4 linked regions of the Astyanax mexicanus genome follow. The protein of the gene in region 1 purifies or fractionates together with the protein of each later gene. This does not show direct contact. Links are inferred from orthologs where the notes say so. Each region holds a gene or a part of one and is shown on either strand. Other genes may lie near its edges.

Evidence for each region.
Region 2: the proteins of ccnf (region 1) and ribonucleoside-diphosphate reductase subunit M2 purify together in Homo sapiens (affinity purification with western blotting; 5 studies listed by BioGRID and IntAct, with this or other methods). This does not show direct contact. The link is inferred for Astyanax mexicanus from reciprocal best matches to the Homo sapiens genes CCNF and RRM2.
Region 3: the proteins of ccnf (region 1) and nusap1 purify together in Homo sapiens (affinity purification with mass spectrometry; 3 studies listed by BioGRID, with this or other methods). This does not show direct contact. The link is inferred for Astyanax mexicanus from reciprocal best matches to the Homo sapiens genes CCNF and NUSAP1.
Region 4: the proteins of ccnf (region 1) and cdc6 purify together in Homo sapiens (affinity purification with western blotting; 4 studies listed by BioGRID and IntAct, with this or other methods). This does not show direct contact. The link is inferred for Astyanax mexicanus from reciprocal best matches to the Homo sapiens genes CCNF and CDC6.

What each region holds. Positions count from the first base shown.
Region 1 is NC_064426.1:40,348,419-40,356,115, reverse strand, and holds the start of ccnf (cyclin-F), read right to left. Parts: upstream 3,022-7,697; 5' UTR 2,827-3,021; coding exon 2,814-2,826; intron 182-2,813; coding exon 27-181; intron 1-26. UniProt on the Homo sapiens protein: Substrate recognition component of a SCF (SKP1-CUL1-F-box protein) E3 ubiquitin-protein ligase complex which mediates the ubiquitination and subsequent proteasomal degradation of target proteins.
Region 2 is NC_064408.1:76,113,512-76,121,632, forward strand, and holds the start of ribonucleoside-diphosphate reductase subunit M2, read left to right. Parts: upstream 1-4,924; 5' UTR 4,925-4,943; intron 4,944-6,735; 5' UTR 6,736-6,744; coding exon 6,745-6,837; intron 6,838-7,068; coding exon 7,069-7,137; intron 7,138-8,121. UniProt on the Homo sapiens protein: Provides the precursors necessary for DNA synthesis. Catalyzes the biosynthesis of deoxyribonucleotides from the corresponding ribonucleotides. Inhibits Wnt signaling.
Region 3 is NC_064414.1:7,790,454-7,797,939, reverse strand, and holds the start of nusap1 (nucleolar and spindle-associated protein 1), read right to left. Parts: upstream 3,207-7,486; 5' UTR 3,061-3,206; coding exon 2,986-3,060; intron 1,810-2,985; coding exon 1,750-1,809; intron 1,419-1,749; coding exon 1,272-1,418; intron 1,176-1,271; coding exon 1,010-1,175; intron 501-1,009; coding exon 414-500; intron 1-413. Other genes in the region: oip5 (protein Mis18-beta), read left to right, coding at 3,389-3,611, 5,118-5,184, 5,281-5,403, 5,507-5,588, 6,613-6,771. UniProt on the Homo sapiens protein: Microtubule-associated protein with the capacity to bundle and stabilize microtubules. May associate with chromosomes and promote the organization of mitotic spindle microtubules around them.
Region 4 is NC_064423.1:17,209,372-17,217,013, forward strand, and holds the start of cdc6 (cell division control protein 6 homolog), read right to left. Parts: upstream 3,034-7,642; 5' UTR 2,888-3,033; intron 933-2,887; 5' UTR 907-932; coding exon 567-906; intron 455-566; coding exon 194-454; intron 47-193; coding exon 1-46. Other genes in the region: wipf2a (WAS/WASL-interacting protein family member 2), read right to left, coding at 6,821-6,864. UniProt on the Homo sapiens protein: Involved in the initiation of DNA replication. Also participates in checkpoint controls that ensure DNA replication is completed before mitosis is initiated.

The sequences.
Region 1 (7,697 bases):
TTGTTTCGCTTCATGTCTCCACTCACAGCTCGGACAGCCAGCAGATCCTCGGCGGAGAGGGACTGCAGAACATACAGCAGAACCTCCTCAGGAAGGGACAGCAGGGTCAGGGAGCGGGTCTGCTTTCGGACCCGTTTCCTCGCAGGCAGAGAATAACATTTAGAGCACCGACAGTGAAGCACTGGAAATTAAAAATGAGAAAAATTAGATTTAGACATTAATAAACATATATTAAGATTTTTTTTACATACAACTGAAATAGTTTTGCCATAGTAAACCATCAGCAGTAATAGCTTGATATGACATTAGTTCCCTAACTAGAAAAAGTCCTTCTGTTAAAAAAAAAAAAAAAAAAAGTTTCTGAAGAGACTTCATGATAGCCAAGTTAGCAAGGTTTGATTAACAAACTAACTACTTTTAACTACTTCCCTTCCTTCACTCCTCTATCCCATTATCTCCCTTTGACCTCCTTTAGGCCCTATATAAAGATGTTTTTAACATCTATTACTTTTGTACTTCACTACTGTAAGTCGCTTTTGGAAAAAAGCATCTGCCAAATGTAATGTAATTAATACAAGTTTTTATACGTTGTAAGTACTTCCTAATAGACGTCACAATAAAGAACTCCTATGATTTACAGGCATTCAAGGAAACTTTGTCACTCACATCACATGTGGTAAATAAGGTGGAACGAAATTGTAATCTTACAATCCAGTTCCACCCAAAAAACTATTTTTAACAAAATAAATATATAATAGAATGAAAGTAAAATAAGAGCAAAATATATATATATCAAGATGAATATACAAAATAAAACACATAATAGAAGTGTAGGGAAATAGCATTAACATGAAATCCAGAGTGTTAGTTTTGCCCTAGCATCATGGACAGACAGATATACAGATAATGTTACTTTATTGATAACGAAGAAAATTTAGCAATGATGATGGATGATAACTAACACAAATCATAGTTACCAACTGGATGAACCACCAGTTATAGTTCTAGATAGCTAGCCTGTATGTGTGAAAAGTGTTTGTTAGTTAGTTTAACTAAGTTATATAATCGGAAGTCATATGAAAAGTCCCTCCTTAAAAACAAGGCCTAGAGACTTTTAAAGCATTAGTTATTATATTAAAAATTAGTAGCTATTTATAAATTCTGGAGCGACTCCATAGCTAAACTAAGAAATACTCTTGTTTATTTCATATAAATATATGAAAGTAGTTAACTAGCTATGAAGCTACTTAAAAAAAACTATTATACATTATTATATTTTAACAATAAGAAAAGCATATGACTTAACGACTTAAAACACATTTACACTGCCTGTATTTAGTAAGATACCAACAGCTTTAGTGAGCTATAACTGGCTCTCCTAGATAGCTAGCAAGCTAAGCTACTTAGTTCCCTCCTTAAAATCTAGGGCTTAAGAGTTTTAAAGTATTACTTATTATTATATTTAAAATAATCAGCTGGTTATGAATTCTAAAGGAGACTCAATGACAGCTAAACTAACAAATACCCTACTTGGGGTTATTTCATAAAATGTTGCTTAGAAGCTTTAATATTATGCAAGATATAACGTTATTTAGTTCAGCTTCTTAAAGTCACACAGTCACATAGCCTGTTAATTACATCTCCCTAGCCATACGAAGATATAACTAATAACTACATATTCTAGTAGGTTATATTGTTAAAAAACATTTGAGTTAGCTCAAGTTATATTTAAAATGGTAATTATTGGTATTATTTGGAAGTTCCTGGCTGGGTTTTGGGTCCTTAGCTAGCTAAGTTAGCTAGGTTAACTAACAAACTGTTGCTTAGATCATTTGAAAAGTCCATCCTTACAAAAAACTAGGGCTACAGTGTTTTAAAGCATTAGCTAACTATCTTTATATCACTTAAAATGCTCATCTACTTAACCGAATTTTCATATGATGAGAGATATTTAGCCACATATTTAAACATAGTCACTTAGCCTGGATAAACCAACAACAGTTATAGCTAACTTACTTAGCTATGAAGCTGCATAATTAACTTAGTATTCCTTAGCCCACTTTAATAATAAGAAAATCATATGATTTAACTACTTAAAACACATTTATACAGCCTGTAATTATATGAACCAGCGGCAGCTATAACTTAGTTAGCTAGCTAAGCTATAGTTAGCTTACATCATTTGAAAAGTCCCTCCTTAAAAACTAGGGCTAAAGAGTTGTGAAGCATTAGCAATCATTATATTTAAAATGATTAATTTAATTTGGTTATAGTATTAGATTTCGATAGATTTTAAGAAAATTTCATACAAGTAAAAGTCTTTATATGATGTGGGATATATTTACTTATTTAAACCACCAACAGCTAACGTAAGGTTAACCTATAGCTTAGCTTCCTGGTTGAGAAGCTATAACTAGTAGGTTAACTATATTTGCGATTATATTGATTAGTATATTGTTTTAAAAGATTTGAGTAAGCTAAAGCTTTATTTAAAGTCATTATTTTTATATTCTTGGCTGTTTCTGTTTGAGTTTTGAGTCCTTAGCTAGCTAGTTAACGTTAACTACCTAACCTAGGTTACTTGTATGTTATCTGTAACCTACAATATAATGTTAGCTAAACAAAATCAGACCTTAAACAGAGTTATCAGCAACCCACATTAACAGAAATATGTTTTTGAAAATATAAACAAATACATAAATAGGCAGTTTGACTAAATAACACTAGGCATTGGAGCTGAATCAGTGCTAACGCTAGCTAACCTAAGCTAACTGTATCAACATAACTCAGATAAACTCATCTGAATCACTTACCGCCCGCTTTCATTTCAGTAGAAGATGAGCCCTGTTGGTAACTAGTCCCCGAAACTAGTGAATTATACACAATTTTCAGTTAAATTCTGAATATATATAAATATATTTATAAATATATTAAACAGTATAAGCTACAGGGAGCCGCTAACCCCAGTGCTGGGCTGTTGATTAATTTTAAGCACACCGCCTGAGCCTCAGATCCTGCCCCAGGCACTTAGCCCCGCCCATGCGCAAAGGTTTAAACATCAACCTCGGGAGCTCATAGGCTACAATCCGGGCCCGCCCCTCAAAACCCCGCCCCGCCGATTTGCGCAGACGCACAAGTCGGCGTACAATTGGTGTATGCCTCGAATACTGAAATCCGCTCCTCTGATTGGACAGACGGATGCTATTTCGAATTGCGCGTTTCCCATGTTGTTGCTATTGGTCGATACATTTAAAGGTATATTTTTGGGCGGGATTTACATTTGAAGTTTAAAAAAAGTTGTAAAAGTGTGTTGAATATAGATTTTAAATAGTAATCAGGATATTATAGAGCCTGAAACACGATGGATAGTTTAGATTAGATTACATCTATTGATCCATTCTTGATGAATGGACCAATAGAAATACTTTAAAATGGAAAACAATATTTTTACATTGACATCCAATGAAAGTTTAGACGTTGCTGTTTTGGAGATATTTGTTTTGCATTGGACAGTGACGATATGCAGTTATGAAATGAACAAAAAAGTCAAAACACACCAAAATATGTTTAATATTAAATATTATAGATTATAGATTAAAATCTTTAAGATAAGATTGGACCTTTTGCTTTGATGCCAACTTTGTCCACTCTTGGCTGATTCTATCAGTTAGTTTTATGAGGTAGAACCTGGAATGGAAACTTCCAACTGTTCTAGAGATGCTGCCTCTTTATAACTGCTTTTTCTTTACTCTATGCTCCAACTTTAATAAATTAAATACAGCAATACAAAAAAAGGTTGAACAAGAATATGTGTCTAAATTTTCGACTGGTACTATATGAGCTGATTTAATGGTAAATATACTAAAGCCTTAAAAGTGAGCTTTAACATGTTAAATTCATTAAAGTGCAGCAAATATAATATAAATAACAATAATAATTATACTCATTCTTTTTTTCCAGTTTGGGTGGAATTTGGCTAACATTGAATGCATGAGTTAAAATCAAATCATGAAATCCTGAGTTGAATTGGTTCTTCTTGTTTTATTCAACTTCTATATTACTGTGTATCCAGTCATTTCATTTGGTCTGAGTAGGAAATCTGACATGGGTGAAGAATTCCAGCTAAAATTCCCTCCTGGGAACTTGGAATTTCCAGATCTGAATTAAAATGGAATTCAGCATGAGTACTAATGAAACAAATGTTACGTGTTAAGCGATCTTGTGTTAATTATTGCTGATAGTTTCAGTATACAATGCTGTATAGTTAACTTTACATATGACAATATCAATTAAATTAACCTTTACAGTCTTATATGAATCTATAATATATGATGTTTGACTAAGTCTTAAACTATATAACATATGTATGGACTGTGCACTGTAATCTGGAACCCTCCACTCAGTTTACCACAACCCACCACAGGAAGTTGTCCCCTCGGTTTCAGACAGTGTGACTTTTAGCAAGACAATCAAAAACTGCTGACGGCTCACTTTCACAAATGCACCGCCAGCAAACTGCACATTTCTCCCTTTGCAGCCCATAATATAATATCATTAAACCATTTAAAGAATTGGGAGATTTTTCAGTGCATAAACGTGTGTTTGTTCAGATTAATCAGTATTTATTTATTTTTATTTTTATTTTTAGAAATTGATACCATCCAGATGCTAGTATCTGTCATTGTATGGATGAAGCAGCATATTATGTAAAATTTACTTTTTGCATGCTTTTATATTTTCATTTGGGTCACAACAGCCCCTATAAACACTATAAACACTCCAATCACCAAAAAAATCCAGCCATTCGTTTTCTGTGAATCAGCTGAAAGAGTTTGGGTCAGGAATCATTTGCTTCTATGAGCTGTTTGGGTGGCTGACGTCACAATAATGAAACCAGCATAGAACCACCCTGGCTCCACCCCTCACCGATCTACCCACTCACTAGATCAGTTAAAGAAACACAATTTCGGTCTGAGGGAGGGATCTGAACCTACCGTCCGCTGTGCCCACACCGTTTCTATCTTGGAGGTGGAAAAGGAGCTCCACTGACTGATTAAACCCTGACAACAGTCAATTAATGACCTGTGAACACGCAGGTCAGTATCCTCTGATAAGATACGAACACGCCAAAGTCAGAGCTCACCTGCCTCTTAATGGGAATGACAACTGACACACTGATTGGTCTATTTCACATTACGCCCAAAACCCACCCATGATTAATTAAGAGAATTTGTTCATGCCTTTTGACAGTTTCGAACCACGAAAGGCGTATTTTTTGTGCCCTCACGATACCAAAGACACACAAACACGTCCTATAGATCACTATGCGCTATAGATCATTAAAATAGGTCCCATGTTTTGCTGTTTAGCACAAGCTAACTATAATGTGTGGTAAACAATCAGCGTAAACATGGCTCATTCTAAAAGGGACTGAAACTGGTAAGAATAAAGCTGGTGAGATCTCTTTATCTTTATGTGAGAGTGATTTTGTGCAAAGAACTTCATGATCGTGTTTTGTATAGAGCATAGACCTGTTCTAACCTATTATAACTAATAATTAAAAAAAAGTATAATACAGCTCCGGAAAAAATAAGAGAGCACTTAAAAATGATGAGTTTCTTTGATTTTACCAAATTAAAAACCTCTGGAATATAATCAAGAGGAAGATGGATGATCACAAGCCATCAAACCACCAAACTGAACTGCTTGAATTTTTTGCACCAGGAGTAAATCAGCATAAAGTTATCCAAAAGCAGTGTGTAAGACTGGTGGAGGACAACATGATGCCAAGATGCATGAAAAAACCTGTGATTAAAAACCAGGGTTATTCCACCAAATATTGATTTCTGAACTCTTAAAACTTTATGAATATGAACTGGTTTCTTGTCATTTCTCATTTTCTGCAAATAAATGCTCTAAATGACAATATTTATATTTGGAATTTGGGAGAAATGTTGTCTGTAGTTTATAGAATAAAACAACAATGTTCATTTGACTCAAACATAAACCTATAAATAGCAAAATCAGAGAAACTGATTCAGAAACTGAAGTGGTCTCTTATTTTTTAATGCAGAAAAGTGCATTGAGATCAACAATGTAAAACCACATGCTGCACACATTCTTACAAAAGCGTGGCCATTAAAGAAGGGGGTACAGATACTATACTGGCCTGTTGAAGCCATGCTCACTTCCTAAAAGAGATGTGTAATATGCAGGTGATTTTAAAACAGAAAAAAACAGGACAGTGAGACCCCGTACTGTTGTTCAACACTAATGCTCTGTAATAATGCCATAAAATCCCTGGATCAGAAATATGACATCAGGTCAGATTTTCAGTATGAACCCCATGTGAAAACTGCATTAACACCAACTGTGTCTCAAAAGCCCAACAGCCATTTAAAAAAATTGATTAGAGGATTGATTTCCTTTCATGCTGTGCCCGCGAGGCCGGGTCAGTGAATTAAAGCCCGGGAGAACAGAACCGATCCATCAGGAAGTGCTGCCTCTGTTTCCAGGTGCTACACAAAAGCAGCATGTAATTAGAGGCAGTGCGATTCCAATCAGGGTTCTCAGCATCCCGACCAAATGACCCGTATTTACTAGGACCGTGAGTGTGTGTGTGTGTGTGTGTGTGTTTGTGTGGACAAGACATGCCAAATTAGGATTGAAGGCACTGCTCAAGCGTTTCCATGGCAACCAGAAACAGCATGGCAGTAAAGGGTGTCCGTCTCGTACAGAAATTACACTTTCATTACTGTTCTCCGATCCTTTACATTCACATTTATTCAATTTAACCAGAGGCATTAATATAATACAGTGCATGCGTGACACATATTTAAACAGTGACACATTCTTTTGCCATTATTATAAGATATTAAGTCATAATTATTAGGTCCTCAGTCATTATTATGAGATTATGAGTAAGTCATAATCAGGATAATATCCCATTATGATGGGATATATTATTAGAAAGTATGCTATTATTATGACACAGTCATATTTGTCATATTTGTGGTAGTAAGTCATTATTATGAAAGACCAAGTCATTATTATAAGATATTAAGTCATAATTATTAGGTACTCAGTCATTATTAAGGCATTATTTTAAGATTTTAAGGCATTATTTTAAGATATTAGGTTAGAATTAAGTTGTTTTAATGAGTTAGTAATAATAATGAGATAAGTTATAATCATAATAATAGTAAGTTATAGTAAGTTATAATTATTAGAAACTAATTCATTATGATATAGTAAGTCATTGTTATGTAAATAATTATGACATATAGTAAGTTACAATTATAAGATAGTAAGTCATATTTATGACATAGTAAATCAAAATAAAATTGTGTGGTAGTAAGTTATGATTATTAGATACCTAGTGATTAATATGTGATAGCAAGTATTTATTATCAGCCATTACGTCATTATTATAAAATAGTAAGTTGTAATTATAAGAAAGTATGCCAATATTATGATACAGTAACTCAGAATTATGAGATTGTAACTCATATTTGTGGTAGTCATTATTATGAGATAATACGTCATAATTATACAATATTAAGTCATAATCACAATTCACATCATCACTAAATCACAATTATGAGATATCATGGTCATAATTATTAGAAACTTCATTAGGATATAGGAAGTGATTGCTATGTAAATAATTATGAGACAGTAAGTTACAATTATAAGAT
Region 2 (8,121 bases), on another chromosome or scaffold:
AACATGCATTTATTGACAATATATGAATAAATGTCTCTGTAAAGTGAACAGTATTCCTACCTGTGATACTACCTATCTTCCTTTGAATATTATTTAATAATGAACATTTGAAGATTCAAATAAACCATCATGCTTATGATGTGGTGTCTGTTTCATTTGAGGAAAATAAATTATAGTTGACAACATATAGCAATATGCTACCAAGAATTTGTTCTACAACCTATTTTTGCCATGTAAATTTCCACAAAAATAGGTAAAAATTGTGACAGAAACATCACTTCATGACGTAGTTAGCCTAGAAAATATGTAATGTGAATTTTGTTAAGAAAGGCACCCAGAAAGAAGCGCAAAACAATAAGTTCATTATGCAATCCTACACTGAGCTTTGCTGGATACAGTTACACAACACTCGCTCAGCGCAATCTCCCCATAACACCCAGTAACAAACCTCGTCCAATCACATCACGCCGTTGTGGAGCGGTTAGGGGGCGCGACCAATCAGGAGCGACCTGGGGCCGTGGTGCATTAACTGATTGGTGGATTTTGAACCCGCCCAGCTGCCTTACTGACCGATATTCTCACACGATGAAGGAAAATTTGCGTAAAGATGAAACCGCCAGATGAGGGGAAAAATAACTGACGTAGGTTTCATGTTTTAGCTGCTTAGCGCTACACCCAAAAAATCTATATACGCAGTTTTTAAATAGTTATAATAAATAGATAAAAATAAAAAGCTAAAATATGAAATGAAAGCCATTTGGGATTAAACTGGGACCCGAACAATACCAATACCAAACAACGGTGTCAGCTCGTTTTATTTAATAATTTAAAAATATGTACTAATAAAAATATTTATCTTTTTTTTTAATAAAAAAAAAAAATACAAATAATAAATACATATACATTTATTTTTATTTTTAGCTAAACACTAAAATTATAAATATTGCAGCCCCTGACAGTCAAAACATTTAGCATAAACATGTAAAAAATCTCGATTACATGCAAAGTCAACGTTTTGTACCTACCCACAATGTTTCTTTTCTGAGAGCAGGGGTTATACAAAACCGTGCATAATAAAGATCAGTGGCTTTACATCTACACACTACAGAGACCGCACGCTTCGCTATGCTGTTTACACTAGCAGACTCGTTTCCGAGACAGAAGCAGTGGTGTTATCACTTCAGTCTCTAGATTAGACTAGATTAGCACATTATACGTAATTCCATCACTGTCCTCTGAGAAAAAAAACACATACTGAGGGGAAAAACAAGTCGGACTGGGCTATTCTAACAGGCCTCATCTAAAGTCACAGCGACGCGCGCCCCCTGCTGTTACTGCACCTCTACTACACATGTGCACAACACCTCTTCAACATCACTACACATGCAACTGAACAACTGTTCAGTATGTGCCCGCTAATCTTCTGTTAAGCCAATAGTTGTTGGAACACTGATGTGAGGACTTGATTAGAGCAGTGGTGAAGCCAAGTATTGACTCTAGTTTTCTAAAGGGAATTTTATCCCTCAGCTGGTTCCAGTAGTTAAATGTGCCTTTACACCATTCTTATTCCACCAGCAAATCTATTCTATGGAGAATGCACAAGTGTATGTGTATTTTACAGCAGCAAAAGTCACTTAGTAGGAGTGTCTTGATCATTATGTACTTGTTATTATGAAAAATGTTAAGAACTACTGCTAAGGTCCAGGCCCTCTGCTCAGCAGCCAATCTCCATCGAGGGGGTCAATGTGGAAGTGGTCAAGTCCTACAGATACCTTGGTGTGCACCTGGACGATAGGCTGGACTGGTCAGTGAACACTGACTCCCTCTACAGGAAGGCCCAGAGCAGACTGTACTTCCTCAGAAGGCTTGGGTCCTTTAACATCTGCCAGAAACTCCTGCTGATGTTCTACCAGTCTGTGGTAGCCAGCGTCCTCTTTTACACTGTTGTGTGTTGGGGAGGCAGCATCAGCAAGAGGGATGCTGGACGACTGAACAGGCTGGTGAGGAAAGCTGGTTCTGTGTTGGGACTAGAGTTGGAGTCCTTAACACCACTGGCAGAGAGGAGAGCCCTCAGCAAGCTGCTGAACATCATGGACAATGTTCACCACCCTCTGCACAGCACCATCACCAGGCAGAGGAGCTCATTCAGCGGCAGACTGCTGTCCCAGTCCTGCTCCACAGACAGACTTCGAAAGTCTTTTGTCCCTCAGGCCATAAGACTGTTCAACTCCTCTCAGCACAGCAAACTGAAGACTCTGTGACACCTTTTCTTTCCAGCAATTCTGGCCACACCATGGACATACCCCCATCTATGGTCACACTATCTTGCTGATGCCCATAACACTATTTTTATAGTTCTACCCTATTTTGCACTAGTAGTTCATTCACTAGTTCATTCATCTACTGTTTACGTATCTTTTGCACTGCTAAATTTAAATTATTATATAACTGTGTTTGCACTTTCTGTATGGCGGACATCAGTTATCCTTATACTTACTTTATGCACATCAACTGGTGTTCGCTGTCTATTGTGTTCAACTGCACTACCTCCATTTTACATCACACACACACACTAAAGACTGTACTTTTATAATTTCATTTTATTTTTTATTTTGTTGTATTTATATGTATCATTTATATATTTTTTTATCTTTTTGTAACTTTGTGTACTATACACACCTGCTGCTGGATGTCAAGAATTTCCCCTCGGGGATCAATAAAGTATCTATCTATCTATCTATCTATCTATCTATCTATCTATCTATCTATCTATCTATCTATCTATCTATCTATCTATCTATCTATCTATCTATCTATCTATCTATCTATCTATCTATCTATCTATCTATCTATCTATCTATTTGGTTTAAACAACACATGGTCTGCAAATGTTTCCCTCTTCAAGGTATAGAGCAATATAAACTAAACAAGATTAATATAAGATTGAATGGGTATAAGAACAAAACTGTTTATTTGTGAGTTGAGGGTATTCATATTGTATTATTTTTTTTATTTACTGAGATGGAATGAGTAGATGTGTTAATGATTCAACAAAAGTGACATACAAATCTGACCTTAAGGATGTTCTATGGCTAAATGCAATCAGATCCTTACAACCAAAAAATCTAACATAAAGCCTTCTTAAAAGAGTATATGTTCTTACTGAAGTGAAGAGAACAAATCGGCTATTAACACCCTTATAGACATCTTAACATGTGGTGTCTTTAAAATATTAAAATATGAAATTTTTTCGGTAGTGCCCAGCCCTGGAAAAGCAGTTACTGTAAATTTCACTGTGATTTTGCTAGACTGTAGTTGTTGTTCTCATTATTTTATATTTCCGATACAGCAATCATCTTTTCTAAATAGAATGATCTTAAGCTCTAAAATAAAAAAGTCTTTTTGCTTTTAATACTAATAAATTACCAGAAGTGGGCCCTGAACATTTTTACAATTCAAGTTAAAAGACTGTATTTTTTCAAAGCATAATAAATTTATTTCTACACACAGAAATGTGTGTGGTACATAAACTACTATTTTCACTGTTGCATGCTCTCTAAATATTTGCTGCTTTGTGTCTGACCCCATCTCTCTAGGTTTCTTGAGATTTTATTTAAAGCAACTGATCCCAGGAAGAGATGATCATATGCTAACATATGCTAGTTTTACTCAGAGAGACTTTAATACTTTTACTCTGATACATTTTTATGTGCTGCACTGTTACTCGTTACAGTTCTAAAAATGTTACAAATTGTTCCAAACCCACACTATCACTAAAGCTACAGGGGTAGATGGTAATGTTACTGGGTATCAAGCAATCAAGGAAATCTTATTCAAAGACTGTGCTTCTCCCGTTCTGCTTTTCGCTTAGCAAAGTTCACAGCTTTCTGTAAGAATTACATAACACAGTACTGTACTTTTAACTACTTGCAAAAATTACTTTAGTACTTCTACTTAAGTGTGGAGCTTAAAGAACATTTATACTCAAGTCTGTTTTTTGATATAGAACTTGTAGTGTTACCTAAGTCTGGGTCTCTAGTTCTTTATTTTAGTACGAATATTTTTCTGATACTACTGCAGTTCAGTTTGTTGTCTCAGTACTTGTAGTTTTGACCAGCTGATTTTGTGGTTTTACTCTTTTTTTGCTTGAATTCCACATACAGTCGAGACATTATTTTACTGAGGTGGCATTACACATCAAAATACAGCTCTGGAAAATTTTAAGAGACCACTTATTAATGATGAGCTTCTTTGATTTTACCAAATTGAAAACCTCTGGAATATAATCAAGAGTAAGATGGATGAGCACAAGTCATCAAACCAAACTGAACTGCTTGAATTTTTTCTACCAAGAGTGGCACAAAGTTGTCTAAAAGCAGTGTGTAGGACTGGTGTTGGAGAACAGGCCAAGATGCAAGAAAACTGAAAAAAAAAAAAAAAAAAAAAGGGTTATTCTGCCAAATATTGATTTCTGAACTTGTTTTCTTTGCATTATTTGAGGTCTGAAAGATCTGCATATTTTTGTTATTTCAGCCATTTCTCATTTTCTGTAAATAAATGCTCCATTTTTATTTGGGATTTGGGAACTTTTGTCTGTAGTTTTTAGAAAAAAAAAATAATTCAAATATATACCTATAAATAAATAGCAATATCAGAGAAACCGATGTGGTCTCTTACTTTTCCAGAGCTGTATTTTTCAGTGTAAGGGTTAGTGTACTCTCCACACCTGTTTAAACACAACTTCATGTGTAACTCTTCCTCTGTTTGGCTCTTTTTTGCTCTGCTGCGTGTGAAACCTCCTCCCTGCAGAGGGCGGTACTCGGTACACAGCGCACTTTATCCTTTTGTTTGTGTTGCTGGGCTGGGGAACAGCTGTGGTGATGTTTGGATTAAACAAAGAATGTGTGTTTTTAGGGGATTTATGAAGAAATCGTGTAGCTACGGTACCTTCAGCTCAATGAGTGTCTCCGCTGTGACTGTTGTGTAAGGTTGTCAGTGGCGCTGTGTTAACTTGTAAACAGGAGCAGTGGCTCTGTGTTGGTGAATCGCGGGCTTTAGCTAACCCGGCTAAAGCTTAGCTCAGGGTAGTTGTGTAGTCGTTGGCTTGTTTTATCTTGTTTTTTTTAAATATAGGGCCAGCTCCTGTAACACTATAAAGATTAAAACTCTTCTGTTCAATAGTGCGGCTTTAATGTACAGTGACAGCGCAGAATCACATTTTATAAACGCTCTATAATTAGGTTAAACTAGCTACTGCAGGAAGGCTAGCTTCGCGTCCGCGCCAAATAACATTATTATTCTTCGGACATTTCTATCTTATCTCGCGTAAATAACTTAGTCCGGCAACTACTAAACACTAAGAGTTAATAAATAGCGAGTTAACCTGTTTTCACTGAACTGTTCTAATCAGTACTGTGTGTTGTGTTAGATCTGCTGTATTATGTTTTTCTTACCAATCTGGCGGGAATTCGCGAACCAGGAATGTTTTGTCATCACATAAGAAAAGCAATTTATAAAAAAAAGACAATACACTGAATTATCCTATTTCCCCTCATTTATGATTACAGTGCATGTCTGCAGCTACTGATCGTTTTTGTTATATATATTTAGTACTATATCACTTCATAACCCAGTGTATGTGTGACCTACATTTATAGCCTGCATCCATACTTGGATTTCCTTTACGTTTTTTTTTTAACGTATAAGCACATTTACGATTAAAAATGTAACTCTGTATATTTAAGGTGCATGTCTCTCTAGCTGCTGATTTATGTGTGTCTATATTATTTCATAACCCAGTGAGCGTGATTCGTCCGCTTGTTATAACCCAGCTAACTAACTACATCCGTACAGTGAACTTCCTTATGTGGGGGTTTTAAACGTGTACCAAGATTAAAACACAAAATAAAACACAGATTTCCCCAAATGTTATGTTAAGTTATGTTTAAGGTGCATACATGTCTCTATTTATGTATTAAGTAACTTAAGTCCATAACCCAGTGTGTGATTCTTCCTGTGTTTATACAGCCATACTTTTACTTCCGCATCCACGTTGTAAAACGTATAAATAAGTACGTTTACGAAATGCTATTAACTATATGCTGTTTTGCACACGTGTGTTTATTACTGATCGGTAGATAAACTGGATAGTTTAGATATTTAACCTATAATGCGCTTTTCGCGTAGAACAATGACAGGGAGTTGCAGCATGATTTTTAAAATACATATATATGTAGCGTTAAGATGTAAGCTAGGTTATGGTGTTGCATTATAAATTTCTAGCGTATTTATATGTGTTTATTTGTCGATGTGAGCGCGTTTAATGTCAGTTTAAGGTTATATTAAGGTTATATTTTTTATCCGAAAGCGCGCCTTTTTTACACAATCAAATTTTACTGCCGTGTTTGTGAAAAGGAACACACACCCGGCGCGTTTGAAAGTTCCCGCGATCTGCAGCTGACGCCTCCGCTGCTGATTGGCTGGTGACAACAAAAAAAATTAAATGACCTCCGGGAGCTCTGCTCCTATTGGCTGAGCCGGATCGAGCGCCAAGAACTGAATAAAAAGGGAGCAGCGAGAGACTCTCCTCATTTTAGTTTCTTCTCTGCGCTTTAGGCTGTCGCTTGCTTAGTCTCTGCTTTTATTTTACTTAGATCACTTTTTACGTTTTTAGTTTTCCTTATTTTACTGCTAGAACAACGTTTTCTTCTTTTCCCCCCCTTTTTTTTATCTCAGAACTACACAATGCTGTCCACTCGCTCTCCTCTCAAATCCAAGCATGAAAACGCTGTTTCTGCTAAAATGGGCTCCATGGGGCTGGTTGACAAAGAGAACACGGTAAGAACGGGTTTAATTATTGAGCTAATACTATTTATTTATTTTTTTCCCCCTTTTTTTTATGTTTTCAGTTCATGTGTTAATATTTTTGTTAATGGCACGCTGGGGATACACCGGGCTGTGTGTGTGCGTACAGTTAGAGTGTTCTAAAAGACCTGTTATTGATGCAGTAAATATCAACTAATGCAGTTAATTTTAATCTAATATAAGTTACCTGTCTTTGCTCTATAGCCACCAAGTCTGAACACGACCAGAATCCTGGCTTCCAAAACGGCGCGTAAAATCTTCGATGACTCTGAGGTGAGTAAACTTTCCAACCTGAGGCATTTTTAGCTAACGCTAGCACGCAACAGTTAACCTACAGTTAACTAGCTTCTGTGTGTATTGTGACCCAGCAGCAATATTACACAATTCACTTGTTGGTTAAAGGTTTAAAATAATTATCTTGTTGTGCACCGCTGATTTATAGTTAGTTTCATTTGCACAAAAACTGTTTTAACAAAAGCTCCAGCAAGGCTAACCTCCCCCTCCTCATCACCCCCGCCAAACAGCTGACGACGTCCTTTGGCGGCAGAAAGCTAACCCGCTAGTTAGCTTAGTTAGCCTATTGTGTAAACCTGTTCAGGCAGTCCTCTTTTTTTACTTTGTTCAGCCAAACCACACGTTATTTAAAAAAAAAAGTACTGAAGACATCGCCTTTTTAACACCATCATTACCTTCTAAGTTAGTGTTAATTCCATAGCGTGACTACCATAATTTTACCTTTCTAGTCATCTATGGTAGGTTAGTAAGTCAAAGAGTGGCCTTTCTCAAACCTTTTTTTAGTTCGGTTTTTCATTTAAATTAACAAGCATCAGTTTTTGATGATGGTAGCAGAGCAACTTAATCAGTAACTAGCTATTTGCTTTGTTAGTTAAGAGGTGTTTGATACATTTGCTCAAATATATATTAAAGTAGTTTTATCTGTGACTAAGTGTAACTTTTACCTTGAATTATTTGGTTATACAACTTTTAGTGCATGCAAGTGGTTCTGGCTCTGAAGTACCTGATTTGGAGACTTTCCAAATAGTTCTGATTGTATGACTATACAGATGATCTGTAGCTAGATGGCTGTAAACTGCAAGCTGTTGTGTGGTTTTAAATGATGATAAAAAAAAATAGTAACCAACTATTATGGGTATCGCATTAAATACCTTAATTTGGAAACTGTAGTGCACTACAGTATGTATGGTGGTAACTGTTTCATGATCAGGATTAGTAACTAATTGTTACTTAAAATGATGG
Region 3 (7,486 bases), on another chromosome or scaffold:
ATGCATTCAGGATTCTGGATCCTGGAATGTTTTGGCCATTATATATACACAAAACAATAATATTAACAATCATGTGCATTAGTATTTAGTAATGTGATTAGTAGCTGATTTTTGCTCTACATAAAATAATAAAAATCAGATAACAGGTCGATCTCACAAAAATGCATTGGAAACTAAAACTGGACAAGTGTCAATGAAAAAGATGGATATTAAGTGAAATTATAATTAAAATTGCCCCATAGCATAATATACAGCCCTGCACAAGTGCAATTAACTAAATTAGTCTAATTAAGCACTTACTGCAATAAAACATGCAGTTTTTCTGAATTCCCGAAGTCATACAATTACAATTTACCCCAATAATAAATGCCATCATACTGCCCAACCCTAACAGACAGAAAATTAAACTTTACTAGGAGTGGTCGGTCTCAGAGGTGCCTTCGTCTTCTTCAACAGACCCTCATGACGAGGAATTCTGCCAGCAGTCTTCTTTTCCACACCTGTGGAAAACAAAACAACCCTTAAAAGCATTCAAACTATTCATACATGTTATAGCAGCAGATCCAGTATGTGTGTCATTCAGGAAATAGGAGGCACTCAAGAAAAGTAGTAGACACATTTAACAACAACAACAACTCTTCACATAAGAAAATGCAAATCCAAATTCCTCTTTTTACAGTTTTCCTCCAATAATTTCCAAAAACGGTTAGCACAGCCAAAAAACTGAGTGCATCTGTGCTCCCAAATCCTTCACTCTCAACTAGTGCTCTTTAAGCTTAAGCGCATCTTTTACATACTATCAAAATATGAGTTTGATTGTAAATTTCCTTTTACATTAAACTGACATGACTTTCATGAAATAATACAACAATAACAAAAATATTCAAACAAATAAAATCATATGAATTATTATCTATGGAGTTAAGACTGTGGATATATAAAATGAGTTACCTGTAGACAGCATAATTAAAGTTTGATGTTTAGAATGAATGTACTGGCAAATGCATACCTTGAGCAGCCTGCTGAGTAACATTAACAGACTTTGGTTTTGCGTCTGCTTTGCTCTCCTTGGGATCCTCAGCTACAGCCGGAGTCTCTGTGCCCTTAGTTGAAGACACTTTTCTCCTTTTTGAGCTTCTTCTGCCCTGCTCTGCATCATGAAGCTCAGCATTGTCCTAAAAATGGTTAAATGTTTCTGGTGATTTTTTTTTTTAAACACGATGAACTGTTTGTTTTTTAACATAACCGAGGTTGTTAATGATATGACTTACCTGGGCTGGGCTCACTTCCACTTTGGGCTCATTGTCTGTACTGCCCTGGTCAGAATGCTTCCTCTTCATGCTTTCACTCTTCCTGCGGCGCTTGGTCACATTTGAGGACTTGACCTCATCCTCTGCCTGAGCATCAACATTATTTGCCTGAGGGATGTAATGCATTTATAATATGAGATTTATAGCCACACTTATGTTTTAAAACAAGAACTTATTTGTATAAAACAAGAGTCACATTGCATTGCAGTATGTGCAATATCAAATATATGATTTTATTAAACTTTTTTTTTTTTTTTTAAACTTGGAGACCCAAGAGAATTTAAAACTCTCCATGACATGTCTACCAAAGGAACATTATATCACAGGTAAAATCTGGTGACAAACTGGAAAATGCTTAAATATCTGTATTTCACCTGAAACCTAAAAACCACAAACTTAAAAGGCTGTAAAAGGTGTGTAATGAAATTGGGGGACTCACATTCTCTGAGCTCTCTTGTTGCTCAAAGTGCTGCTTCAGGGCCTTCAGCAACTTCTCAGCCTAAAAGAAAAACACATGGATAGGTTTGGTTCCATTTATCTGAGAAGGGAAGGGAAGGGAAAAAGAGGAGCAATCTCACACTGATTTACTCTCTTTATTAAATAACTGCCATGATAAAAATACATTTTAGGAGCCAAAATAATACCCTGTGCAATACTACAAGATTTTATAAACCTTATATATACTACCACAACAGATTTTACATTAGAATTAATGCTGAATAATAAGACATTTAGCTTAAGGTATTAAGGGGATAAATAAATCAGCAGTGGCAGTGGGACATTGTAGCTTTGGGAGTATTAGAAGCATTAAATCTTACGTTTGCAGTGTATAGTCATGCACTAAATATTCTCAACTAGGGGTGTGCCATATCGTATCATATGGTACACAATATCATCACCAAACATTTGTGATAAATGTCACAATTCTTGAAAGCAGTATATTTTGCTACAATAATAACAATAACAATAACTACTATTATATTAAAAGTCTTGGTAAGTTACTGTTTTTACATACTATTTGTTTCAACTAAATAATTTAAACCCTTATACTTACAGTAATTAATAATTTAACATGTAACATCTATTTTGTTACAGCAGTAGATTCAGTGTTGACATACTACCAATAATATTTGTATTACGTATAATAACTTACAGGTACTTTGTTACGACTGTAGGTTGTTGAATTTAATTAAATGTATTTATTATTTTTTCAGTGTTTTGACATACTGCCAATAATATATTTATCGCAAAACCACCGTGAAATATCCTGGTATTGATTGCAATAGTGCTTTTATATCGCACAGCCACAGAAACAATTGTCTGCGCTTATAAATATGCCTTAAATAAATAGCTTAATCTACTTATTTTTAATAACTAGAACAGCCATATAAAAACAAAGATTAGCCAACCTAGCTAAATACGTTAGATAAGTTTAAACATAGGTTAACTAGCAAGCTAATGAATCTTGAATTGAACCTTGAATTCTAGCCTGCTACCTTAAAACGTGCACAGTTAGCATCATTAACCTACACTGTATGTTTATGTGGGCCAGACCACGCCGTGCAGCAGTTAAGGTGGACCTGAAATAACCTATAGCGGAAAGCTATACAACGAACTCAGTTAGCTAGCTGCCCCTAACTAAATTAGTGTTAACGTACATATATGTCGGCCTCACCTTCATGTTAGCTTTCAAACCAACGCTTTTGGCGAGCTGCTGCAGGTCTCCATATTTGAGGGAGTCCAAATCCATCTCCAAGACCAAATCTAGACAATGTAGACGATACAAACAAACAAAAAGAGAGAGAAACGGTCGCAGTATGTCCAAGACCGAACCAAACGCGTTTCTTTAGGTGGGTGACTGAAGGGAGAACGCGCCTGCGTCGGTTGAAAACCACAGTTCAAATTTTGCCACCTCGTTTCCTGATTGGCTAGGAGCGCTGGAGACGGTAACATGTTTGTAGCGCTGATTGGTTCGTAGCCTGAACATGGGCGGAGTCTATCATCACACTGTTTGTTAGAGTGAGAGCTGTGTGTGTTTTGGTTGTTTAGCACGGTGTAAATTCTCGCCAGTGTAGAAAATGTCTCACAGAAAGCCCAGTTTCCTAACGGACAGCTATGACTGCGATAGCACCCAGAGCAGCGTAGTTGTGGAGCAGCTGAGAGCTGTGGAGGAGCCGGGGGAGCACACGGTGGACTATGAGCGGTGCTGTGTTCTACACTGCGCCAAGTGCAGCACGGTCATAGCTGACTCCCTGTCCGCCTGTGGGGAGGCTAAGAGTATCAAATCCATCATTTGCCTGAGTAAGTTTCTGTTTTCAGTGTGAGATAAAACATTTGTAAAGAAGTTAACTGCGTTATTGAAGTGCTTTTATTGTCAGAAATTGTCAGAAAACATTTCATTAGAAAAAAAAAACAAGAGACAACTTCAGTTTCTGAATCAGTTACTGTAATTTAGCTATTTATAGGTATATGTTTGAGTAAAATAAACATTGTTGTTTTATTATATAAACTACAGTCAACATTTCTCCCAAATTCCAAATAAAAATATTGACATTTAGACATTTAGAAAATGAGAAACGGCTGAAATAATAAAAAAAAGAGCAGAGCCTTCAGACATGAAATGATGCAAAGAAAACAAGTTCATATTCATAAAGTTTTAAGAGTTCAGAAATCAATATTTTGTGTAATAACCCTGTTTTTCTTTCACAGTTTTATGCATCTTGGCATGTTCTCCTCCACCAGTTTTACACACTGCTTTTGGATAACTTTATGCCTTTACTCCTGGTGCAAAAATTCAAGCAATTCAGTTTGGTTTGATGGCTTCTTGATCCATCTTCCTCTTGATTATTTTCCAGAGGTTTTTAATTTGGTAAAATCAAAGAAACTCACCATTTTTAAGTGGTCTCTTGTATCCATTGTATCTGATGCAGCATTGCCAATTAACCAGCATGCTCAGAGGACAGCGCAGCGACTTCTTTGCGATACATCGGCTTACAGATGCCTTGTGCTGATCGACATCACCCTACCATGAGGGGAGAGAGTGTCATCTACCCACCCAGAGAGAGCAAGAGCTCCGGTAGCTGATGGCAAACTACATTTTAACCAGCAATCTCCAGATCATAGTGACGGCGCCTTAGTCAGCTGGACCACACAGAGCCTTATGATTACAACAACTTCTCTCCTGAATGATCTCACATGAGTCTTTTCAGACCTTAGGACTACTGTCAGAAATCCCCCAGTGAGGGTTCTGTATTCAACTACCAATCCCCCTCTGAGTGTACTATACAGACCTGGCAACCTATAACTGAATCTTCTGCATCTTGTCAGTGCATTGCCTCTGTCCACAGTGCTCTGCAGTTTAAACTGTGAATGCAGGTGGGAACATGAGGCTCAGCAGACCACGCGATTAATGAAATACAAAACAACGTGTTTAAGTCAGCAGATACAGAGAGGCAAGGATGTGTGTGGGCAGATCAGCACTGCTGTTTGTCACCCAGAATAAACAACATTTATTTTTCTTCTGTGTGCATAAGTTTGATAAGACGCATTTGACACCTAAATTACGTTTCCAGCAACCATATAAAGAATAACCTGACATCAACTGTTTTTTCTACTCCTCCATGCAGTATTCTTTCTTCTGTGTGATGTTTAAGTGTTTCTTGCATGCACAGCCTGTGAATTGCGCTTTAAAGATTGCTATTAACAATCGGTTTATAGAATAGTGTTAAAATATTAAATCGGAGTGTTTTATTTCAAATAACCCGTTTTACACAATATGAACATAATATTTTAAATGTGTTCATGCAGAAGTCACTCAGGACGTAAAAGTCAGAGGGAAGTTTGAGGTATGTCTAGAGGGTCCTCTGGCTTTTTGGTAAGTAAGCTGTCCCCTAATGTGGCATAAATATTTTTAGTTTTTATTATTTTAAAATTTGTAATAAAAGTCCTCTTTTTCTTATTTGTCACGAAGCACTTACAGAGTCCTTGAATGCGGTATTTGTCATCGCAGCATGGGTGTCATCCTGCACTCCACTCCAACACATTGGTCCAGCTTGCGAAATCTCTTTCTCTTGCGGAAAGAAGTTCTAAATTGGTGAGATGTGTTTTTGTTTTGGCTTTTAAATAAGTACAATGTGGTGTCCAAGTGTTGGGGAAAAAAAAAATAAAATTGTATTTACTTATTTTAACCTGTTCAGTTACATGCTAAGCAAGTGCACCGTGGTGAAAGCTACCAAAGTCAGCTTTGAAACCAGACCTATAAGAAAAAACATCATTGAGGTAAGTGTAGCATGGTCGGCTCAGTCTCATATACCATTACTTTAAAGGGAGAATTTTCCTTTACTTTTTACTAAAATTTTGTTTAGTTTAGTACATAAAAATATTAATATGTCTTTAAAACAGACAGACCATATGTAGGGAAAATAAGTAGCAAAATCAGCTTGGGTTCATTGGGCCTTATTTCTTAGAAAAAAAAGTATTTCTAAGATCTAATTTACACAGCTTCAAACAAGATTCTGACAGTCACCTTTTTTTCTTATTTGGGATTTTCTTTTTCATTCACAGTAGGATTCATTATTATAAGAGCAGCGCTGTAAAGAATAAATCAGCAGTTTTTAAAAGCATATTGTGAACATGACTGAGACTTTTTGTTAGGATATTTATTCAACATATTCAAGAAGTTCTTAGGAAGATGTGAATGGTTTGTGAATGAGGCCCATTGTTTTTTGACATTATAAAATCCAGCACATTTACATATTAATGTATGTAACCCATTCACACTATGTTGTAATGTTTTTAATGGGCTGCTTTCTGATTGAGGAGCAATAACTGCAGCCAATAAAAACAGAACTCATTTACATTAGAGTATTAAAGACACATTAAGATAAAAGCAGACTGGATCAATGAACATTGTGTGTTTGAGTGGACACTGAACCCCACAAAAATGTGTATCTCCAAAGTAGCAACTTTACACGTGAAAAGTCAGTGTAAAAAGATTTTATTCTGAGTCTTTTATATTGATCCATCCATCATGAAATTCTGACACAGAGTAAAGAACTACTGGTAGATGTACATTATATCAAAAAGTGAAAAACAGCAAAAATGGGAATGCCATTGATGGTAAATGTCCTAAAATATAAGATAAATGCAGGATATCAGTAATTTTATAACATAACTATCTCAAGAAAAAACATTGAGGAACATTGAGTTTTGTTTTAATTTTTTTAAGAACTTGGAATGCAGTTATATATGTAAACTCTCATCACAAATAACTTTTTTTTTTCCATACGGATGGACCGTCTAGCTGCAGCAGGATTTGCAAGCTCAGCTGAAGCAGGTTGAAATGTTGAAGGAAGTTTTGGAAGAAAAGAGCAGTCTTAGAGTGGACCAGAGGAGAGTCCGGCCCAATGCCAGTGCCAGCACTTCTCGCTCCACTGCACTGCTAACCAGCGGCAGCAAATAGTCGATGTTTTCTATTGTTCACAGTTACATCCCTGAGTTGTCGATGTTGGAGCTGAAATTGTAAAGTTGTCTCAATTTTTTGTAGAACTGCAAATTTGTTTGTTGTTTTTGTTAACGTTCTGTAAAAATGACTGATAAACAGTTACATTCTGTGTTCAGATGTCGGCGTAGAGGATGTGTTTAAATATGTACGTATGTATTTATTTTTTCAAGAACAAACTTTCTATATAAAAAAACAAGCAAACTAATAAAAGTATTTCTTCAGAATTTGTGCACTGTGTGAACTGTGTTAAAACTGCTTAAAGCAGCAATCCTTAGGATTTTTTAAAAATATACCGTATTTTAAAGTAGAAGTATTCCTTAGTGGAAAATGAACAAAGTATTCTAATGAGTGACATACAGGTGCTTCTGTGACCTTCACTGTAAGGTCTAATATATAAATTCTAAAAACAGTGGCCTGTACATTTTTTTTGACTGTGTCATGTATTTCCAAAGGTTTGTGCTGGTTCTAATATTCTAATATGCTTCTGCAAACATATATCAGAATGGCAAACATCTTCCTCAGCTTTAATTAAAAAAAAATCTATTTAAAGCTGATGTCTGTAATTTTTGGGATTTAGGGCCCTCACTGGTGAGAATGGGTAACTGCACCGAGCATGCAGAAGAAACATTTTAAACTGGGTGGGTGTGATGCGTTTTCCTTTGAGAGCAGATGA
Region 4 (7,642 bases), on another chromosome or scaffold:
GGCACAGCTGTGTGCAGAGACTGCTTCACACTCTGGTAGTGTGACTCTAAAAGTTGAGGAAAAACACACATAAAAAGACAAGATATTAGATTAGTCATATCACCCTTCAAAAGCCCAGCAACCATTACAGAATCAAATGTTTATCTAATATACACCTATGCATCTAGCAAACACCACAACAAACAGAACTCACTTTGTTCAGCAAAAAGCTGAGAGACTGCAGCTTTAGCTGGTGACCCTAAATCAGCACAGACGGTCTGCAAACGTTTGGGAGAAGCAGCAGAAAGACGCGAGAGGGGGATTTTAGAAGGTGACTGGGTAGAACGAGGAGGAGAGCCGAAGACTGGAGCATTCTCATTGAAGGAAAGTTTGCGGGGGGAGCCCAAAGAGGGGCGCCTCTGTTTAGGAGGAGAACACTGCAGAGACGCTGGCAGGTTGCATCCGTTCTCATCGCCTGCAAAAAGACCATAATAAAACATTAATATGTGTTACCTTTTAACAAACATACACAGAACATTCACACAGAAATGTACAAAAACATTCTGAATTAAAGTTAAAATTAATACCTGTGCGTTTGCGGGGGCTCAGGGGAAGTCTCTCAGCCAAAGAGCTGGTTTTGAGCACTGGGTTTCTGGGTGAGAGGGGGAAGGTTTGGACATCAGCACTGGTCTTTCTGGGAGAGAGAGCGATGGTATGGAGGTCTGCCAGGTTTGTCTTTCTGGGAGAAAGTGGGATTGTTCGGACATCCACCAAGTGTGGCTTTCTGGGAGACAAAGGAAGGTCTCGAACTGCATTCTCAGTATCAGGCAGAGACGAACGCTTGGAGCTGGACTTTTGGATTACCCTGGAAGACTTGCGTTTGGGGAACTGGAGGGTTGGCTGACTCTGGGAACGAGTGCTAGGCATTTTCGTAACAGGACCAGTTTGCAGCTCTAAGTGGGGGAGGAAAAGGAAAGGGGAGGTATTGTTAGGTAGATGTTAAGCCAGTGTATGGGGTGACACTAAGTTGAGAAAAGCCATTTTTAATTCAGAACTGTGCTATTTATCACAGTTTATTCAGGACATTTTGCTACCACTAACATGTTAATTTAGCTAGCTTAAAAGTTGTTCACAGCAGTGCATTACTAAGGTGAAATTTAGCTTTTTTAATACAAAAAGTGACCTAAACTAAAATAAGCTTTGGGGTGAGTTAACCAAGCTAGCTTTTGTCATCTATAGTAGACTGTAGGCTAACTAGCTAGCTAATATTGCATCACTGCCACCTCAATAAGATAGCTAGAGTTTAAAAACCTTTTCATTGCAGAGACAAACGTTTTAAAAAATTAAGACAACTTCAGTTTCTGAATCAGTTTCTGATTTAGCTATTTATAGGAATATGCTAAATGAACATTTATTGTTTTGTTCTATAAACTACAAACAATATTTCTCCCAAATTCCAAATAAAAATATTGTCACTTAGAGCATTTATTTGCAGAAAATGAAAAATGGCTGAAATAACAAAAAAGACAAAGCTGACCTCTAATAATGCAAATAAAACAAGTTTATATTCATAAGGTTTTAAGAGTTTAGAAATCAATATGTGGCGGAATAACTAGTAAAATCAAAGAAACTCATTAAGTGGTTTTATTTTTTTCCAGAGCTGTATATCATGAGGAAAACTACAAAAATACTTAAAGAAAAATAAACAGGGGAAAATGCAGTAAGACATATGCATTTTAAAATTAAGTTCCTGACAGTAGTCCTTGCACAAACCTAGTGTAACACATTTTTCTCAAAACATCAAGGGGGAAACTAAAAAAAAATACATAAGGTAAAAATACAGTAAATAAAAAATACATTTAAAGTTAATTAAGTTACAGACAGTAGTTCTTTAGCAGGACGACCTTTTTAAGATATTAGTAATAACTTAAACGTAGAATTATACCAAAATGTGACTTCTTACTACAGTTAGCTTTGGGGTGGGTTAGCCAGGCTAGCTTCTGTTGTCTACAGTTGGTTATATTGCAAGTTAGCTAAGCTAAGTAGCTAACCAACATTGCTGCACTGCCACCTAAAAACTCGCTAGGGTTAGATTTTTTAACATTTTTTATTTTCATTGAAGACATCCCCAAACATAGGGCAATACATTATTCTCAAAAATACATAGTAGTTAGCTAACTAAAAAATAATAAGTTAAAAATAAAATATACGTTTGAGAAAAAGATAGTAAAGGAAAAATGGGGGAGGGGGTCAAAGAGGTACACATTTACAGTAAATCAGGAAATGTTATTTTAAAATATTAATACACTGCTTTTTGCATTTAAGACCTTATTTTTTTGTACAAGCGTGAAAGATTAGAGAAAGTTAGCGCCAACAGATAACACTACAGCATGGGGGGGGGGGGGGGGGTAGCTAGGTAGAATTATTATACTTGTGTTGCTAACTTATTAGTTCGTTAATCAAGCCTAGCTGCATTTTCATTTGTTATTTTTTTAGGTTTTTCGCAGATCAGTGGCTGGCTTGCAAGTTGTTAGTTAGCTAGCAAACATATTATAGACAAATAGCTAACGCTAGTTTAACTAGCTTAACCCAGATCCGCCACTAAACATAGTTAAAACACCTACACCCACACATATGTCTGCCTAAAAAAAAACAATCGACATGTGAATATTAATATCTAATGATTTCTAGGTTAAATAAGACATTATTAAAGCGATTCTAACTTAAAAAGCCCCCTGATTCACAGCTGAATGGTTAGTAAACTAGGTTTCCTACTTGGCGCCAAGTTCTCCCCACCTCAAGCAACCCACAACTAAGCATTAAAACGCTGCGTTTAAACGCCATTTCTGATAAACTGCTCTTCACTACATTAAATATCAGTAACACTGCGAGTAAATCTTAGTCTTACCTGTATAAAATGTTTAATAATCTTCTGTTTTTCCTCAGGAAGTCTCTCACCCGCAGCTCCACTGTCAGCAGTCTCTCCTCTGGCGCGCTTCAGCTAATCGGGGTCTTTTAGGATCAGCTGGAACCTCCCACCACCCTATGACAGCGTCTACGCACTGCAACCCTATTGGTTGGCTTAGTGCCAAAGCCCGCGAACAGCCAATCAAATCGCTCAATCGCCACCGTCTACTGGAGCCTGAACACTGTTGGCGGGTGTTTTCATTGTTGACACTTTCGCGGATTTTTTTTTCCCGGGAAATCTTCGTTACATCCGTAACATTAAGAACTGAGTGTAATATATTTAGTATGCTCTGCTGCTGAAGTAACATCCACGCGAATTTCTGCTAAAAAAAACGTATAATCCTTTACTTTTCGCTTTAGAAAACGTGTATTTATTCACAATAGTCGTGTAACAAATCTTCTGTCCACAGGCGCAAACTGTTTAGCCACCAAATGAGACAAAAAGACCAAGGAGACAAAAAATTAAAGATTAAAAAGAATAATAATTCTGGCCAGAATCGATTTAAGTAGTTTACATTCATAGTCTACATTTCCAAATAAGCCATTATAGTCAATACAATGGAAACACAGTTTCGATAGATTGATAGATTGATTTTATAAATTCACAAAGGCAGTACTGCATTTGTAACAATATCCACGTAAAGTTAGCGTTGCAGTGATTTTATAATCATCTGAACTAATGTAAACTGGAGGCTGGTGTGGTAGATCAGAGTATGTAGGTGGGTGTCTTACAAGCTGTTGAGCCCCCAATATGCTCTTCGGCCGCCTTTCCCCTTTGTTGTGGTTATTTAGAAGGGGGGTTGTGTGTGTCTTTTGTTCACATGTGGTAAATTGTTAAATCACCTTTTAAATGTGTGCACTACCCCGTCAATTGTGCACTATTAATATTAATATATGTATAGTACCCGATAGTATTAGTGTGACGTAAGTTACTGAATATGTAACTCACAGTACTGTAGTTACTACCCACCTCCTATATCCAATAGTATCTCCCGTGCTATCAGAAAATGACTGCAAACCGCTAGAGGGTACCCGGGAGTCCTTAATGAATTGGGGTTAATGGAGCTAAACGGCAAAGTGTAATTTTGGACAGATGAATGAAGAATTTTCCTTTTCATTTCCTACATTAAGCGTTTTGTAGGCAGTGTAGATGCTAACATTTCTGCTATTGTGAGCTAATGCTGGACATGTTAAAGAGCCACTAAACCCTAAACTATATTTTTCTATTAATGTAATATAATTCCATTAATTTAAACTGAGGGTGGAGTAGAAATCAGGGGATTTAGTGCCCCTTTAATCACCTTGTTTACCAGTTTGTTTACCAAAGTTACATACAATTGCAACACAATGGAGACATGGAGAAAAAAAGGTTCTTGCAACAGTTTAAGATAGAAAAACAACATCTCTTTAAATAATATATTTATATAATTTAATAATGAAAAAAAATATTACAGTGCAGAATTGTGCTGTTTTCAGTTTATCCAGGACTTAATCCCAAACTAATTCTTCTTAAAAAAAAAAAAACGAAACCCGAAACATTATCACTATTGTTAAAGTTAGCACTGAGTTATGATCACTTAAACAAGCAATGCATCTCAATTAATAATAACTACCTTTTGAGTATTAGAATATATATATATATATATATATATATATATATATATATATATATATATATATATATATATATATATAAAATACTCAATAGATAAGTGTCAACATTGAATATTCTCAAATATGCAAGATCCTGTACATACATAGAATCAGTTACATTTTAAGTAAACTACTCCTACTATTACTACTACTACTACTAATAATAATAATAATAAGTGAATCAAATGAAACCACACATACTTCCCATAACCTTTATTTTCAAATTCAACACAATAGCCAGTCTACTGTTACAAACTGCTCATTTTGGCAGCTTAGAACTGTTTACCAAAGTCACATAAAATTGCAACAGGCCAAGAAGGAGACAAAAGAGGTTCTTGCAACAGTCCAAGAAGAAAACCCACCTCTGGCCACTTAGAGGCTACATACGGATAAACGCTCTCCGGAAAAAGACCAGATAGGAAATGGTCTCCTCATAATAAACGTTTTACTGTTATAGAGGTTTAATTCTCTGTATTACAAAACTTTACAATAAAAATCTTTAACTACATTTTATATAGTGTAATATACATTATTACAATTCATTTTCTTAATTATTACACTAGTGTTTTATTTAACAAAAAGAAAAGGAAAAAAAGAAAGAAAAAAAAACATTGGTACCAGTTAAATCTGTGAATGACATCTTTCTTCCAGAGAAATTCATAAGGTTTTAATTAATAATAAAGGAATATGATGCTGATTTTACAGCACATGTTGCACCATGAGCAGACCCTCAAAAATGTCAGGGCCTACTGCATACACTGTGTGCTGAGTGGCACTTAGGATATTTGGTCAGTACTAAAGAAGAGTGGTTAGGAATCAGGTAAGTTTAACACATACAAATCAAGGTATCAGATTTCCCTTCTTTACAGACAAAATTCAAATGCATTGCAACGTATTTGCCGCTCACAGCAGGAAAGGCAAAGGAATGGCTGCTCCACGTTCCTGTACTAAACAACACTCAGATTGTTCAGAGATGAAATCCAAATGGAATGAACGATTCTATCAAAAGACACAGGGCTAAAAATAAACAATAACATTTACTATATAGCCCCTACTATTGGCAAAATAATCACAAAAAATAAAATCACACAATCTTCCCTAATATACTTGACACATTAGCTCTCATTTGGGAGGAACAGTCTATGATACAGTAACAAAGAATTACTTTATGATTCTAAGGCGCAAAAACATGAAACAAAACAAACAAAAAAAAAACTTTCCGCATAATGTAATGATTGTCTACTTAATTAATTAATTAATTATTTTTTCTTTTCACTCTGATAGAGATAGATTGGCATAAAACAAGTGCTTGGTCCATTAGTTGATGCCCATCTCTGGCAAAGATTGTGCAGCTGTCACATTAGAAGGAATGCATATATAGAGAATAGTTCTCTTGGGTCATCTAGAGGCACAATACAATATAGGCTTCACGCTTTATCAAACTGCATAGTGTTTTATGGTCTGGAGGTATTTGTTAGGAACCAGTCGGAGCAGAAACAGGGTTGATTTCTCAGACGTGATTCAGCAATGAGAATTCACCAAATTTGTTTCATCAGTGAAAAATAATCTTGCTTAGTGTATTGTGGTCTTAGCTTATTCTGGAAAAGCAACCCATGTTGTGGTCACGGGATCATAAGTAATCTAGTTTCCCTATTTGGTCTATTTGGTCAGATATAAATGTTGGGCACCCCTGGCATTTTTTTAAATGCATAGTTAATATTAAATTACATTACTATTGCCATTATATAAGTTTATTTTGTTATTTGTATTATATTATTATTATTTATTACTATAACAAATATGATGTGTAAGACCTATTAATTTTCTTCATCTGATTATAAATTAATTATTCAGATCAAGACAGATATTTTTGTTGAGGTAAACTGCAGTGTGCATTCTCTCAAAACAATGTGCTATATAAGAACACACTTCTGTTTTATGTCTATTTTACCACATATTGTGTAGGGCACACGCTTAGTGTGAACTGTGTTATTTGAACACATCTGAATGCACAGCTAGTGTTAAATCGTTAAATCGGATAGCATACCGATTCAGAAAAGTCTTTATCTGGATACACAGGTGTGTTCAAACAGTAGCATGCCATGTGTTGTTTTTAACACATTTATTTTGAGAGTGTACAGGTAGGTGTATTAGTGTGCTGATGTGAATGTGTGGAGTTGGGTTCAAATTTCATAGTCGTTCCTCACTTCCTGAGTGTATTTCACCTTGCAACAGGTGGCAGTGGAGGAGCTCCTCTCATCACAGCTACAGTAAGACAGACAGAAGGGAAATGACATTAATAAAAACTGACACAATCAAATATGTTTAGCACACATTCAACACACCCAGATCTGCTCTCTTTTTTTGACTTGGAAGAGTGGTGCTGAACTACACAAAAAAACTAACTGCAGCTGTAGGCTACAAGACCAGTGTTTAAACATTATCCAGATTATGTTTGATAGTCACTAGCAGTCCCTGTTTTTCATTCTTTATGCATAATTCAAAGGATAAGCTGTAAACAAAGTAATTCAGGGTAAATTGGGGTGAAATGGTTAATTGTGGAGAAACACGCAAAATCTGATACACCCTGACAGTGAAGGTGATAAAAACCTCCTGTCCTATATATGTTGTCTGCAAAGCTAATGTAGTTTTTAAGTAACATCAATGATGGAAAAATGATTTTATAAACATTTAATTATGACTGAAATATTGAATATTTTTAGTGAAAACATTTGGCCAGAAGGGCCCAGACTTTCAAAACTATTTCAGGTTCAGTTCAGTTTCCTTCTTCTGGACCAAGCTAGGAAATGAACTCATGGTCTGCTTTGTGTGCACAGCACTGTGGTCATAATGAGAAAACATCTTCTCTATGTCTTTCCACTAGGAAATGCTCTTGGGCAGACAGATACCTGGCTGCTAGTGGAAGCAGACTAAAATAAATATACTTCAGTTCAAGTAAACTGCATAGAAAAAACTTAAAAACTAGACCCTGGACCCCTAAATCTGGCTTATTAAATCATGTCTTGATATCAGTATTGAAGTA